3 linked regions of the Oryctolagus cuniculus genome follow. The protein of the gene in region 3 interacts with the protein of the main gene of each other region in a pairwise test. Links are inferred from orthologs where the notes say so. Each region holds a gene or a part of one and is shown on either strand. Other genes may lie near its edges.

The links. The genes of interacting proteins can lie anywhere in the genome.
Region 1: the proteins of AP2B1 (region 3) and AP1M2 interact in binary tests that used the Homo sapiens proteins (3 or more experiments, as listed by UniProt). The two-hybrid records come from large-scale screens. The link is inferred for Oryctolagus cuniculus from reciprocal best matches to the Homo sapiens genes AP2B1 and AP1M2.
Region 2: the proteins of AP2B1 (region 3) and GTF2I interact in binary tests that used the Homo sapiens proteins (3 or more experiments, as listed by UniProt). The link is inferred for Oryctolagus cuniculus from reciprocal best matches to the Homo sapiens genes AP2B1 and GTF2I.

Annotation. Positions count from the first base shown.
Region 1 is NC_091447.1:66,911,940-66,914,974, reverse strand, and holds the end of AP1M2 (AP-1 complex subunit mu-2), read right to left. Parts: intron 2,777-3,035; coding exon 2,618-2,776; intron 2,329-2,617; coding exon 2,203-2,328; intron 1,857-2,202; coding exon 1,781-1,856; intron 1,324-1,780; coding exon 1,301-1,323; 3' UTR 501-1,300; downstream 1-500. UniProt on the Homo sapiens protein: Subunit of clathrin-associated adaptor protein complex 1 that plays a role in protein sorting in the trans-Golgi network (TGN) and endosomes.
Region 2 is NC_091450.1:49,792,679-49,796,178, forward strand, and holds part of GTF2I (general transcription factor II-I), read right to left. Parts: intron 2,074-3,500; 5' UTR 1,472-2,073; coding exon 853-1,471; intron 1-852. UniProt on the Homo sapiens protein: Interacts with the basal transcription machinery by coordinating the formation of a multiprotein complex at the C-FOS promoter, and linking specific signal responsive activator complexes.
Region 3 is NC_091448.1:39,031,182-39,035,583, forward strand, and holds the start of AP2B1 (AP-2 complex subunit beta), read right to left. Parts: upstream 2,994-4,402; 5' UTR 2,823-2,993; exon of another isoform or gene 2,584-2,822; intron 2,577-2,583; exon of another isoform or gene 2,258-2,576; intron 1-2,257. UniProt on the Homo sapiens protein: Component of the adaptor protein complex 2 (AP-2). Adaptor protein complexes function in protein transport via transport vesicles in different membrane traffic pathways.

The sequences.
Region 1 (3,035 bases), on a different chromosome or scaffold from region 3:
CGACCCTGCGGCGCCCCACCCGCGTGGCCCGCGCCAGCCAATCAGCGCGCGTCTCCGGGGAGGTTTCGCTAGCCGGAGGGGGCGGTGCCGCTCGTGATTGGCCAGAGCGCGGAGATGGGCGGGGCGCCGGTCATGGCGGGGTTTTTGGATTTCAAACCCGCCAGGCGGGCGGGAAAGCGAGCCAGAGTAACTGACCCGGGGGGAGAAAGGTCAGGAGCGGAATGGCGGGCGCGGGCTGCTCCGGGCTCTCAGCGCCTTCAGGGTGGAAGGGAGAGAAGGGCCGGGCCCTCGCCGCGCGCTCAGCGAGCGCACCGCCGAGCGACGTTTGAAATAAAACGCGGACGCGGGTGTGGCTGAGGGAGCTGGCGCCTTTCTCAGTCACCCCGCGCCGGCCCCGCGGATGGGGGGTGTCCACCACGTGGGGACCGAGGACTTGGCACCTGCCTGAGGCGCCCCCCTGAGGAGCGCGCCCGGCCGAAGAACGGCGCGAGGAGAAGCAGCTGTTTTTATTTTTTAATTTTTCAGAGTAGTCAGGGCTACGGATCCGACCAAACGGGCCCAGTGAGGGGGTCGCGGGGAAAGGCGGGCCGCCGACTTGGGTTCCAGGGACGGCCCCGTGGGAGAGGTGACCGTGCACCCAAAGAGGACGCAGGGAGCCGGGGCTGCGGAGGGGCAGGGGCCCTCAGGGGCGGGCGCAGGGGGGCTCCGACTGGGGAGGGGTCGCCCTCAGGGGAGGGGTCGCCCTCAGGGGTGGGCGCAGGTGCGCAGTGGACCCGGGGGGGCTCCGCCTGGGGAAGGGTCGCGGTGGGCCTCCCGGCTCACCGGCGCCCTCTGGCGGCGGTGGGGGGTTCTGCTCCCTGCGTGGAATAGTCACTCCCATTCCAAGGGTTCAGGGGTGTCCCTGGCACCACACCGCACCCCCAGTCCCCAGCCAAGAACCACACGGCTAGGTGCGCTGTTTTAACGACACCCTAAAATGGAACAGCAGCTATGGAGGAGAAGGGTCCCCAGTACCCCCCTAAGGCAGGTCATTGCAAAGGCACTTGTGGGGGGGGCTTCAGGCCTCTCCGGTTTCTTCATGTAAAATCGGGGGTGGGGTAGGGCAGTCCCAGGAGCAAGAGAGGCAGGGGGACCACCTCCCCACCCCCCACCCCCAGCCCATGCTGGGAAAGGAGGGTGCTGGGAGCTGGACACTGGTCACACACATGTGCACACGCACACACACGCTCTCCCTGCGTATCTGTAGTCAGGGCCTGGGGAGACGGCGGCCCCACACTTGAAGAGCAGCGTCCTCTCGCTCCTAGCTGGTACGGAGCTGATAATCTGCAGAGGAATGAGAAGCTGAGGATGGGGGAGGGGGCAGCCCCACCCCCAGCCCAGCCCACCCCAGCAGGCCCCAGCCAGCGTGACCAGCCCAGCCAAGCAAGGGGCTACTACGTCAGAGTGCCTGCATCTAGGAGACCCGGTTCCCGCTCACACACACCCCCAGGAGGCGGCAGTGGCCCCAGCACGTGGGCCCCCGGCTGCCACCCACGTGGGAGACCCGGGCTCACTTCCCGGTTTCTGGCTGCAGTCTGGCCCAGCCCCGGCCACCCTGAGCGTTTGCGGAGAGAACCAGCAGATGGAAGAACTCTCTCTGTCACTGTGCCCAGGACAGCGCGGCCAGAAAGGGCTGCCCTGTTAGGCTGGGAGCTGTTAGAGCCAGAGCGAGGGCCAAGCGCGCGTCCCCACCGCGTCCCATCCCCTCGCCCCGCAGCCCTGGGGGGCCCGGCTTGCTCACCGCCGCTCTGTGTGATGTAGCGGACCCAGGGCAGGGCCTGGTACCCACTCTTCTCAATGATCTTCATGTACCGGACCTGGTAGGGGAGGGGACAAAGCGAGGGGTCTGGGCTTGGGGGAGCGGAGCAGCCGGGGCCGGAGAAAGCAGCAATGGTGGCCCAACCTGGCAGGAAGCAAAAGGGTGCAGGCAGGGGTGGCCCCGCACAGGGGAGCAGGCAGGCTGGGGTGGCTCCCACATGGGGAAGCAGGCAGGCTGGGGTGGCCCTGGTGGGGGGGGAGCAGGCAGGATGGGAGCAGAAGGGGAGAAGGCAGGAAGGATGGGGGGGCGGGGGGATGGGAGAACTGCAGGGACCTGAGCTAAGGACAGGGAAGTGGGGGGCAGCCCGGGGCCCAGGAGAGCCCCTCCCTGCCCACTGCCCTCACCTGGATCCCGGAGACGGTGAAGTACGGGATCTCAAACTTGACCCCGATGGGGGGCCGGCCCTCCACCTCCTCCTTCTCCACACTGGGGAGGCCGAAGTGGGCGCGCATGAGGTACTCCTTGCCCCCCTGCGGGTACACGGGGGCATCAGACACCCCAAGGGGGCCCCTCCGCACCCCACCCCACCAACATGGGAGACCCGGATGGAGCTCCTGGCTCCTGGCCTCGAGCTGGCCCAGCCCTGACCATTTGGGGAGTGAACGGGGGGGGGGGGGGTGGAAGATTCTCTCTCTCGCTGCCTTTCAGGTGAACACAATATTTGTAAAGGGGTGGGGGAGGACTCTGACCCCAGGGCGGGAGGTGAACCCACACCCCTTCGGCAGCCTCAGTGTCCCCGCCCGCCCGCCCCGGGCTCACCGGGAAGGACTTGATGCTCCAGATGACCACGTTCTTCTCGGGCACGTACTTGGCGCTGCCCACGCTCGTCTTGAAGCGGGGGGAGTCGGCGTCGCTGGGCACAGGCACCGAAATCTCCACGCCGTTGGCCACCGACTGCTTCTTGAACTGGCCCTTGGCCTGCCCGGCGAGAGACGTGGGGCATGAACAGACCCCTCGCGGGGCGGGCGTGGGGCACGGTGCTCAGGGTCCTGCTTGGGGTGCCCACGCCCTGTATCATGGCGGAGCCTGGGTTCCAGCTCCCTCCTGATGCCTGCCCTGTGAGGTGATGGTCCAAGCGCTTGGGCCCCTGCCACCCACGTGCAGGACCCGGATGGCACTCCAGGCTCCTGGTATTGGTCTGGCCCAGCTCTGGCTGTTACAAGCATTTTGGGAGTGA
Region 2 (3,500 bases), on a different chromosome or scaffold from region 3:
CCTGGAGCTCCATTTCCAATCCAGCTCCCTGCTAACGTGCCTGCCACAGCAGCAGAAGATGGCTTAAGCACTTGGGGCCCTGCCACCCACGTGGGAGACCTGCATGGAGTTCAAGTCTTCAGCCCAGCCCAACCCAGCCTATTTACAGCCATTTAGGGAATGAACCAGCAGATAAAAGATCTCTCTTCTCTCTGTCACCCTGCCTTCAAATAAATAATTCTTAAAATAAAAAAAGGAGAATTCATAACTTAGAACTGAGACTGTGATGTTATAAATTCAGAACTGTTATTGCTTCATTTGATTAAGTGGCAAAGCCGCACAGACTCCCCCTGAACCTAGACCCAGGCCCACAGCCTTCCCAGGACACCTCACCTGTGGCCACATCATCTTCACGCTCATCACACGTCCGTGCTGTGATCCCAAAAGCAAAGGAAGATACCTTTGTGGTGCTTTCTGCACAACAGACCTGAGTGTTTGTGTCACAAGCCTTCCCCAATGCCAATTACTCCGGCAACTCAAAGCAAGATCACACAGGCTGCACCTGTTAGGAATGTTCTAGCTAGAGCCACAAGGTATAGAGGCAGGCAATTCTCAAAAAGGCAAAGTAGGCAGGCACAGGCTAGCACCAGTAATACCGGCAGTCTCCCCTCATCTCCTGGGTAAACATTCCAGGAACCCCCCCCAGGCCACGTCTGCAAGTGCAGATCCTCTGTCTTCAACACACAGGCCTGGGACACAGTTTACAAACTACGCACAGCAGCAGTAACCTGTAGGAAGGCCGGGTGACTGTCACACTGCAACAAAGCTAGGTGCCCTGGTCTCTCTCGGCACAGCTCAGGGGACTGTACTCACCCTCCTGCTGCCCGCCTTCCCGGCAGTGGGAGACGCGCTTGGGGCGCCTTCCTCTCTCCTTCAGCAACTTCTCCCACTCTGCAGGAAACTCCACGGCCGCCGCCTCCTCACCGGAGGCCGCCCCTCCAGGAATGCTCCCGGTGTTCAGTCCAAACCTGCTCCTGAACCGGTGCAGCCAGCCCTTACTCGCGGTGAACGGCTTTCTCTCCAGGAGCCCCTCGCCCCTGTCGGGGGACCCCCGGCTGCAGTCCGCGTACAGGCTCAGGGCTTTCTGCCGCAGCACGCTGCCATGGATCGCCACGCGCCTCCTCTTCATGTCTTCCACCCACACACTAAGCTCCTTTTCCATCTTCACCAGGCGCTTGTCTCGCACTGTGGCCGTGACCTTGGCGTTCTGAGGGGCCACAGCGAAGCTCGCGCGAATTTCCTTCTCCTTCTTCACGATTTCACGGATAGACGATTCGTTCTTACTGTAGATCTTGGCAACCTCGGCATAGGACTTTTTCTCTTTCCTTATTAAGTCAAGGACTTTCACCTTTTCACTTAAAGGAAGCACTTTCCGGCTTCTCTTTGGCAGGTGCGAATGGCCGGCATCCTTACTCTTGCGCTTTGGGGCCATCCTTAAGCAAGATAAGAAGTGGAAGACGAGCACTGTGAGCTCCCAGGCAGTCCATCTGATTAGCAGGAGGGCTACCGCGTGGCCAGCAGGCGGGCAGCAGACACAGTGTGGACACACTGCACACAGGGACGACTCATGGCCTCAGCGGGACGGAGGGAGACATCACTGCACTACTCACAACCTTACAAACTTTATCTGGAACTTTTCCATTTAATATTTTTGGCCCGCAGCGGACCGCGGGTAACTGAAACCGCACACAGTGTGGCCACAGATAAGAAAGGCTACTGCGGGGCTTCCTGAGTCTGCTGGGTCCTCTTCCCATTCACGCAGCTTCCTCAGTCTTCCATCCTGAACGCCTTGGTTTTCGTAAGATGCTTTGTCTCCCCAGGTTTTCTCCTGCATGAGCTTCAAAGATGAACTTAATTGGTCTGCCGCTGTTGCTTTTTGTATTGTTTATTCTTGTTGGCTATTGTTTAATAGATGTGCTGTCTTCTTTTATCTCTGAAAACAGCCTCCAGCCATTCTCTGAAATCTTCCTGTGTTTCTTGTTGGAGATCCATTTCAGGAGTTAGGTTTATCTGTGTCCTTGCTGTCCTGATCTGCTGTACCTCAAAACAAGCCAATAATTAATTCCATATAAATGTTTCTGCTTGACTACACTTCTGCTTTAACTTACTGATCCTTGCTGTCAATACTCAACAGCACCTACAGTGGGGTGGGTACTTTATAATGAGTCACGGGAAGACAGCTCTTGAGGATTCACACACTAACAAAAACCAAGTTTCTTAATATTTTTTATTATGCTGTTCTCTAAAGTATTTCCAATTTCAATATATTTCTGCCTTACAACAAGCTTCAGGTCAGATTGGTAAGTGTGAGAAGGAACCATAACACTGAACTTGGTTTTGATTACATTTGTGCCCCTATTTCTTGCTCCATTTCAAACTTATAACACAATCTCTGATCAAGAAGAAAATTCAAGGGATTTTAACTGAACCTCTCCATTCTATTATGTCATAAATGAGCGAGTCCAACTAGGAAGATTAGCTGTCTTGCTGAGCTTACCCTAACAGTTTTACAACAAGGGACTAGAATCAGTCTCTTCAAATTCCTACTTGCCCATTCATGCACAATAATAAGCCAAGAAAAGCAGGTTTAAAAAAAAAAGGAATGAACACAAGGTAAATAATCATACAATGACTAGAACGTTAAGACTAGGTAATCTCTGAACAATTAACTGTCACAAATCATAAGGAAACTGAAACAAAAGTGTAACATCCTTTTTGTCCATAAAGCAAAAATGATAGTGGCCACTGAAGAGTATTTTATGTATCCACCCCAGTCACACTCTATAAAAAAAGAATTTGGCTCAAGGAAAAAATATGAATTATTACAGACCAACCACCTAGATGAACACATTACCTACGTGAACAAATACTGCTGGCCAGCCAACAGGCAAACATCTCTCCTTTTAACAACAAAAAATGGCCTGAGCTTAATACAACTGTGGACTCACAACACAAAGACTGAACACTCAACCAGGAGGAAATGTATTTAAGTAGGTCATAGACCCCGTGATTTTCTTTCCTTCTGCACAAATTCCTGCAGATTGCTAAGCTTTTCTCAGTTGTTTTTACTTGCATTAAACAATTAAGATCTACCCTGCACATTTACTTAAGGATGGTGAGATGACCTTTACGACTGCAAAATTCTAACTTTCTTAACTGTTTTGCACTAGAAAAGTCATCACTAGAACCTTCCAAGTTTGCTGAGTGGTCTGCCCCCAGGGTGTTGTCCCTGGAAGACTAGACACTACTTAAGGCAGGTAATGGCATTCAACCTTGTAATTATCCAACAGGCTTAACAGTGGTTAAAAAAGAACGAATACTTTTACTCAAAAACTCTTCCATCCAAATTAAGTTTTGCCCTCTACCCCAAAAAAACACAGTAGGATCCCCCTGTGCTGTAGCCCTTCTTGTCCTGGGCAGGCAATGTGTCATGGTTTGAGTCCTGGCTGCTCTGCACTTGG
Region 3 (4,402 bases):
AAGAAAAATGAAAACAGGGGCCGGCTCTGTAGCATAACAGGTAAAGCTGCTGCCTGCAGTGCCTGCATCCCATATGGGCACTGATTCCAATCTTGGCTGCTTCACTTTTGATCCAGCTCCCTGCTAATGTGCCTGGAAAGGCAGCGAAGGATGGCTCAAATCCTTGGGCCCCTGCACCCATGCAGGAGACTCAGATGAAGCTCCTGGCTCCTGGCTTCAGCCTGGCCCAGCCCTGGCTGTTGTGTCCATTTGAGGAGTGAACAAGCAGATCGAAGATCTCACTCTCTGTCTCTCTCCTTCTCCCTCTGTAATTCTGACTTTAAAATAAATTAATTAATTTTAAAAAAGAAATAAAAATGAAAACAGTCTCAACAAAAACAAATGGGAAGAGGTGGTCGTTGCACCATTCTGTGAATGTACCAAAAGTGCCACTGTTCACTATAAAATGATTAATTTTATGTTATGCAAATTTCACCTTAAAAAAGTTGTGTTTTAGATGAGATATAGTTAATCATTTGATAAATATGGACATAGCCAAGATTCTCTAAAATTCAGGATGGTGAAAACTGAAGTCTGTATAGGAGGTCACAGAAAAGTAGACAAGATGGAGTTCAAGAAACAAAAACAAACAAGCAAGTATTTGCTGATGTGCCTTAAAAAGTCAAATTCCTGCCACAAAAACAAAACTATTTCTCTGGAGAGCTCCAGAAATAAGCAAAGCCATGATGGAATTTAAGCCCACATCATCTTTCTACCAGATTAAATCAGACAAGTCACTGGACATTCTGAAGACTTAGGGTCGGCCCAGGGCCACTGTTGAACAACAAAGCTCCAGGGTCAGAGCGCATAATCACTCTCACTTGGCCCAGTCCAGAGAGGGATGTCCCTGCATTTCGGGAGGGCCTCCCGCACAGGATGATGTATCTAGATTTAACACAGCCTAGTTTCTGCCAGATACAGGTTGTGAAAGTCCCTCTTCTATTCCTCCCTCCTCCCCTCAGTTCCCCAAAAGGCAAAGACTGACGTAAGATTAATAGCTTGGGTAAAATAAGGGCAGAAAAAAATTAATAGGATCTTAATTTTAAACGGCTCTCTGGGAAATGGTGGCCAAATTAGAGCTGATGAACTCACTAAGCCCTTCTTTTCACATAAATTTGAGATTCACACATTTAAGGTTCAAAGTGAAAAACTGGCCCAAATTAACAGAATTATAAAGCAGAAAGGTCATTCCAATAATCTTTTTTTTAATAAAAATAACGGGAGAGGTGCTGTTTCCATTTCTAATTAAATATTCAACAACAGTGAAAAGACAACAGTATCTTTAAATATCATTTGGCTCATAAGAAATTATCAAACCCTGAAAAGCCAAAATCACCTGTGATTTCTATTTAAATACAAGAAACTGCAAAGTTAATACAGTAATACACAGAAAGAAAGCTCAAAGTTTGACCTCCAATTCTTAACTGAAATATCATAAGCCCGGAAAATGTAAGCCTGGGAGGAAGGGAAGAAGGAATGGAGAACCTGTCCTTGGTTCAAACCCGCACCTGAGACATACTACTTCACAATATGGGCCTTAAAGGGGAAGACAAACAAGGATGAGAGACCTGAACGTCCCGGACTCAAAGAGAACGAGTGAGCTTTACATCCATTTTGCCACTCAACGTGGGCAAGGCTGTTGGCAGAACACAGGCGCCTGTCTGCTCCCCTGGGGACTTCCAACTGCTAAGCTACCTGCGAAGGCTTCTCACCTCCCCACCAGGCTTAGTCATCCTTACAACGTGTTACCTGCACCTCCTTCACCTGCTGCCTTCTATTATTACTGTGTGAGTGCACCCCGAGGCTACGCTGCGGACCTACACCGGGCGGGAACTAACCGTTCCTCATTAAGACCACCTTCCTTCTTAGTCATTCTGCCTTTCCGAGCGTATTTCTTTACTTTTGCTTTTAAACCACAATACTATGTGGTAACGGAGTTTGACAGTTAAAAAAAAAAAGGCGTATTTTCTGAAAGGTCAAAGTTTTACGAAACATCCACACTTCATAATGAAGCGGCCGAGCGAGCACAGGAACAGCCTGGCCTCCCCTGCTATGAAAACAACCCAGCAGCTTAAAATCTTTGGATTCAGAGAGTATGAAAATAACAGGAAGTTCCAATTTCTGAACTTCTGCCTTCGTCTGCAGCCTTCCCCAAGCCAGACTGTTCCTGCTAAATCCAGAAAAGAAAAAAAAAAAAAAATCCGAGCAGAGAATGTACCGCTTCCCCTCTCACATCGGGCCGATTCCGGAGGTTTCCCTAAAAGTGTCAGGAATGGCTCTTCTGCTTCCAGGTGGGAGGCCTCCATTACGAGATAAGGGAGAGGTGTCCCCAGCCTCAAGTTACGGAGACGCGCGAGGTGTGTCCATTAACGGGCAAAGCTTCGGGGGAATCCCTCTTGCCTTTCGCTCGCTGGACACGTCCCAGCCTCTCAATGCACGTCGGCGAAGGGGGAAGAAGGAAGGTTCTCCCCTCGGCCTCCGGCCACACCCCTGGCCTCTGGCCCGTGCGAACCCCGACTTGGAAACAGACCTCCCCCCACGCACCTCGAGCTGCCACCCCCGAGGATTCCCTCAGCCCACCACAGCCACCGCGGCGGAGACCTCTCCTCCAAGCCTTTTCCTCACAACGGTCACACCCGACGGCTGCCTCCACCCTCAACGGTCACGCTCCTAAGATTTCCTCGCCTCCGCTCGCCTTCGACTCAGCCTGTGGATCTCCTCCCTCTCCCCCACCCCAATCAATTAAGGAACACACACCCCAGAGTCAGCTGCCTTGAACTCACCGGAGGCAAGGGCGGGGGTGGCGGGAGCAGCCAGAGAGCACAGCCCGGGTGGTGTTGTAATGGTTTCCTGCCCGTCACGATTCTTTCTCTAGGTCTAAGCCACTGCGCAAAACCCACTTTGCCAGCGACAAAGATGGTGGGCCGGAAACCCTGACGTCAGAGAACCTCGCCGCGTGACGTAGTCGGAGTGCGCGGGAGAACCAGAAAGGCGGCGACCCGTTACCTTGGAGACGAAAAAGCGTCCTGCCCTCCCCTCCCCCACCCAGCCTTGGTTCAGGCAAGGCTTGGAGACCTGGGCCTCAGAGGATGGTTAATGGCTATTCCAAGGGATATATTAAACAAGCTGAAATTCGCTGGAATTGTTTCCTCGCAAGGAATTGAAGTATCCTGTTCCCTTCTATTAAAAAAAAATTAAAACATCGGCTAATTTCCCTGGCAGGCGGTCCAGCAGAAAACAACAGTGATCCAGCCCAGAACTCATAGGCAGTGATGCGAGGAAAAGAGGTTGAGGCGGCATCATGTGAGTTCGTGAGTTCAATTCCCTGCCCCGGTGCGACTGGGAAAGTAGTTTAATAACCTTAGTCTTCTTGTCTTGTGAAGCTTAAATGAGATAAAGAAGCACTATGCTGAGAATGTAGTAGACCTACTAACACAAAAGTAAGGCGCTTTCGGGAACTACGCCCTAGATTCTAAGATCTAAAACTGGAGGAAAAAGTTGACGAGGGCGCAGGAAACTGTCAGCGAACCAGGCTCTCCCTAAGGTTTATGTGAGGGTGTGAGGGAGAAGAGAGAGGGTTGGGGTTTTTTCTTCCAAATTTTTGCCCATCAATTCTGGGAGTATCAAAATAAAATATTTTGAAGTTTCATTCTGCAGGAAGTAATTTGAAGTATATAAAGACTTCATATAACACTTATGTATTATTATGCTGTTATTAACATAGGAGAAGTTGGAAATTAAACATTTGTGATAAATTAGAGAACTGTATAATGTTGTCGAAGAATATTTTATAATGCAAGAAAATCTTGATAAAACGGTTAAGCTTAAAAAGTACACAAAACAATACCTGCGACATGACTGCATATGCAAAAAGGCTGGAAAAATAGGGGCTGGCACTATGGCGCAGCAGATTAAAACCCCAGGCTGCAGTGCTGGCATCCCATATGGGCGTCAGCTAAAGTCCTGGCTGCTCCACTTCCCATCCAACTCCCTGCTAGCGTACCTGGGAAGGCAGCAGAGGATGACCCCTGCACCCACGTGGGAGACCAGGAAGAAGCTCCGGGCTCCTGGCTTCGGATTGGTTCAGCTCTGGCCATTGTGGCCATTTGGGGAATGAACCAGAGATGGAAGACCTCTGTCTTTCAAATAAATAAATTTCCTTAAAAAAAAAAAAAAAAAGGAGGGGCTAGAAAAATGTTCAACAGAATGTTAAAACTGATTATTGCTGGATGAGCAGAGTTTTTGTTAAAGATTTATTATTTGAAATGCAGAGTTACAAAGAGGCAGAGAGAGTGAGAGAGAAAGAAAGAGAGAGATCTTCCATCCGCTGGTTCACTCCCCAGTTGGCCCCAACGGTCAGAGC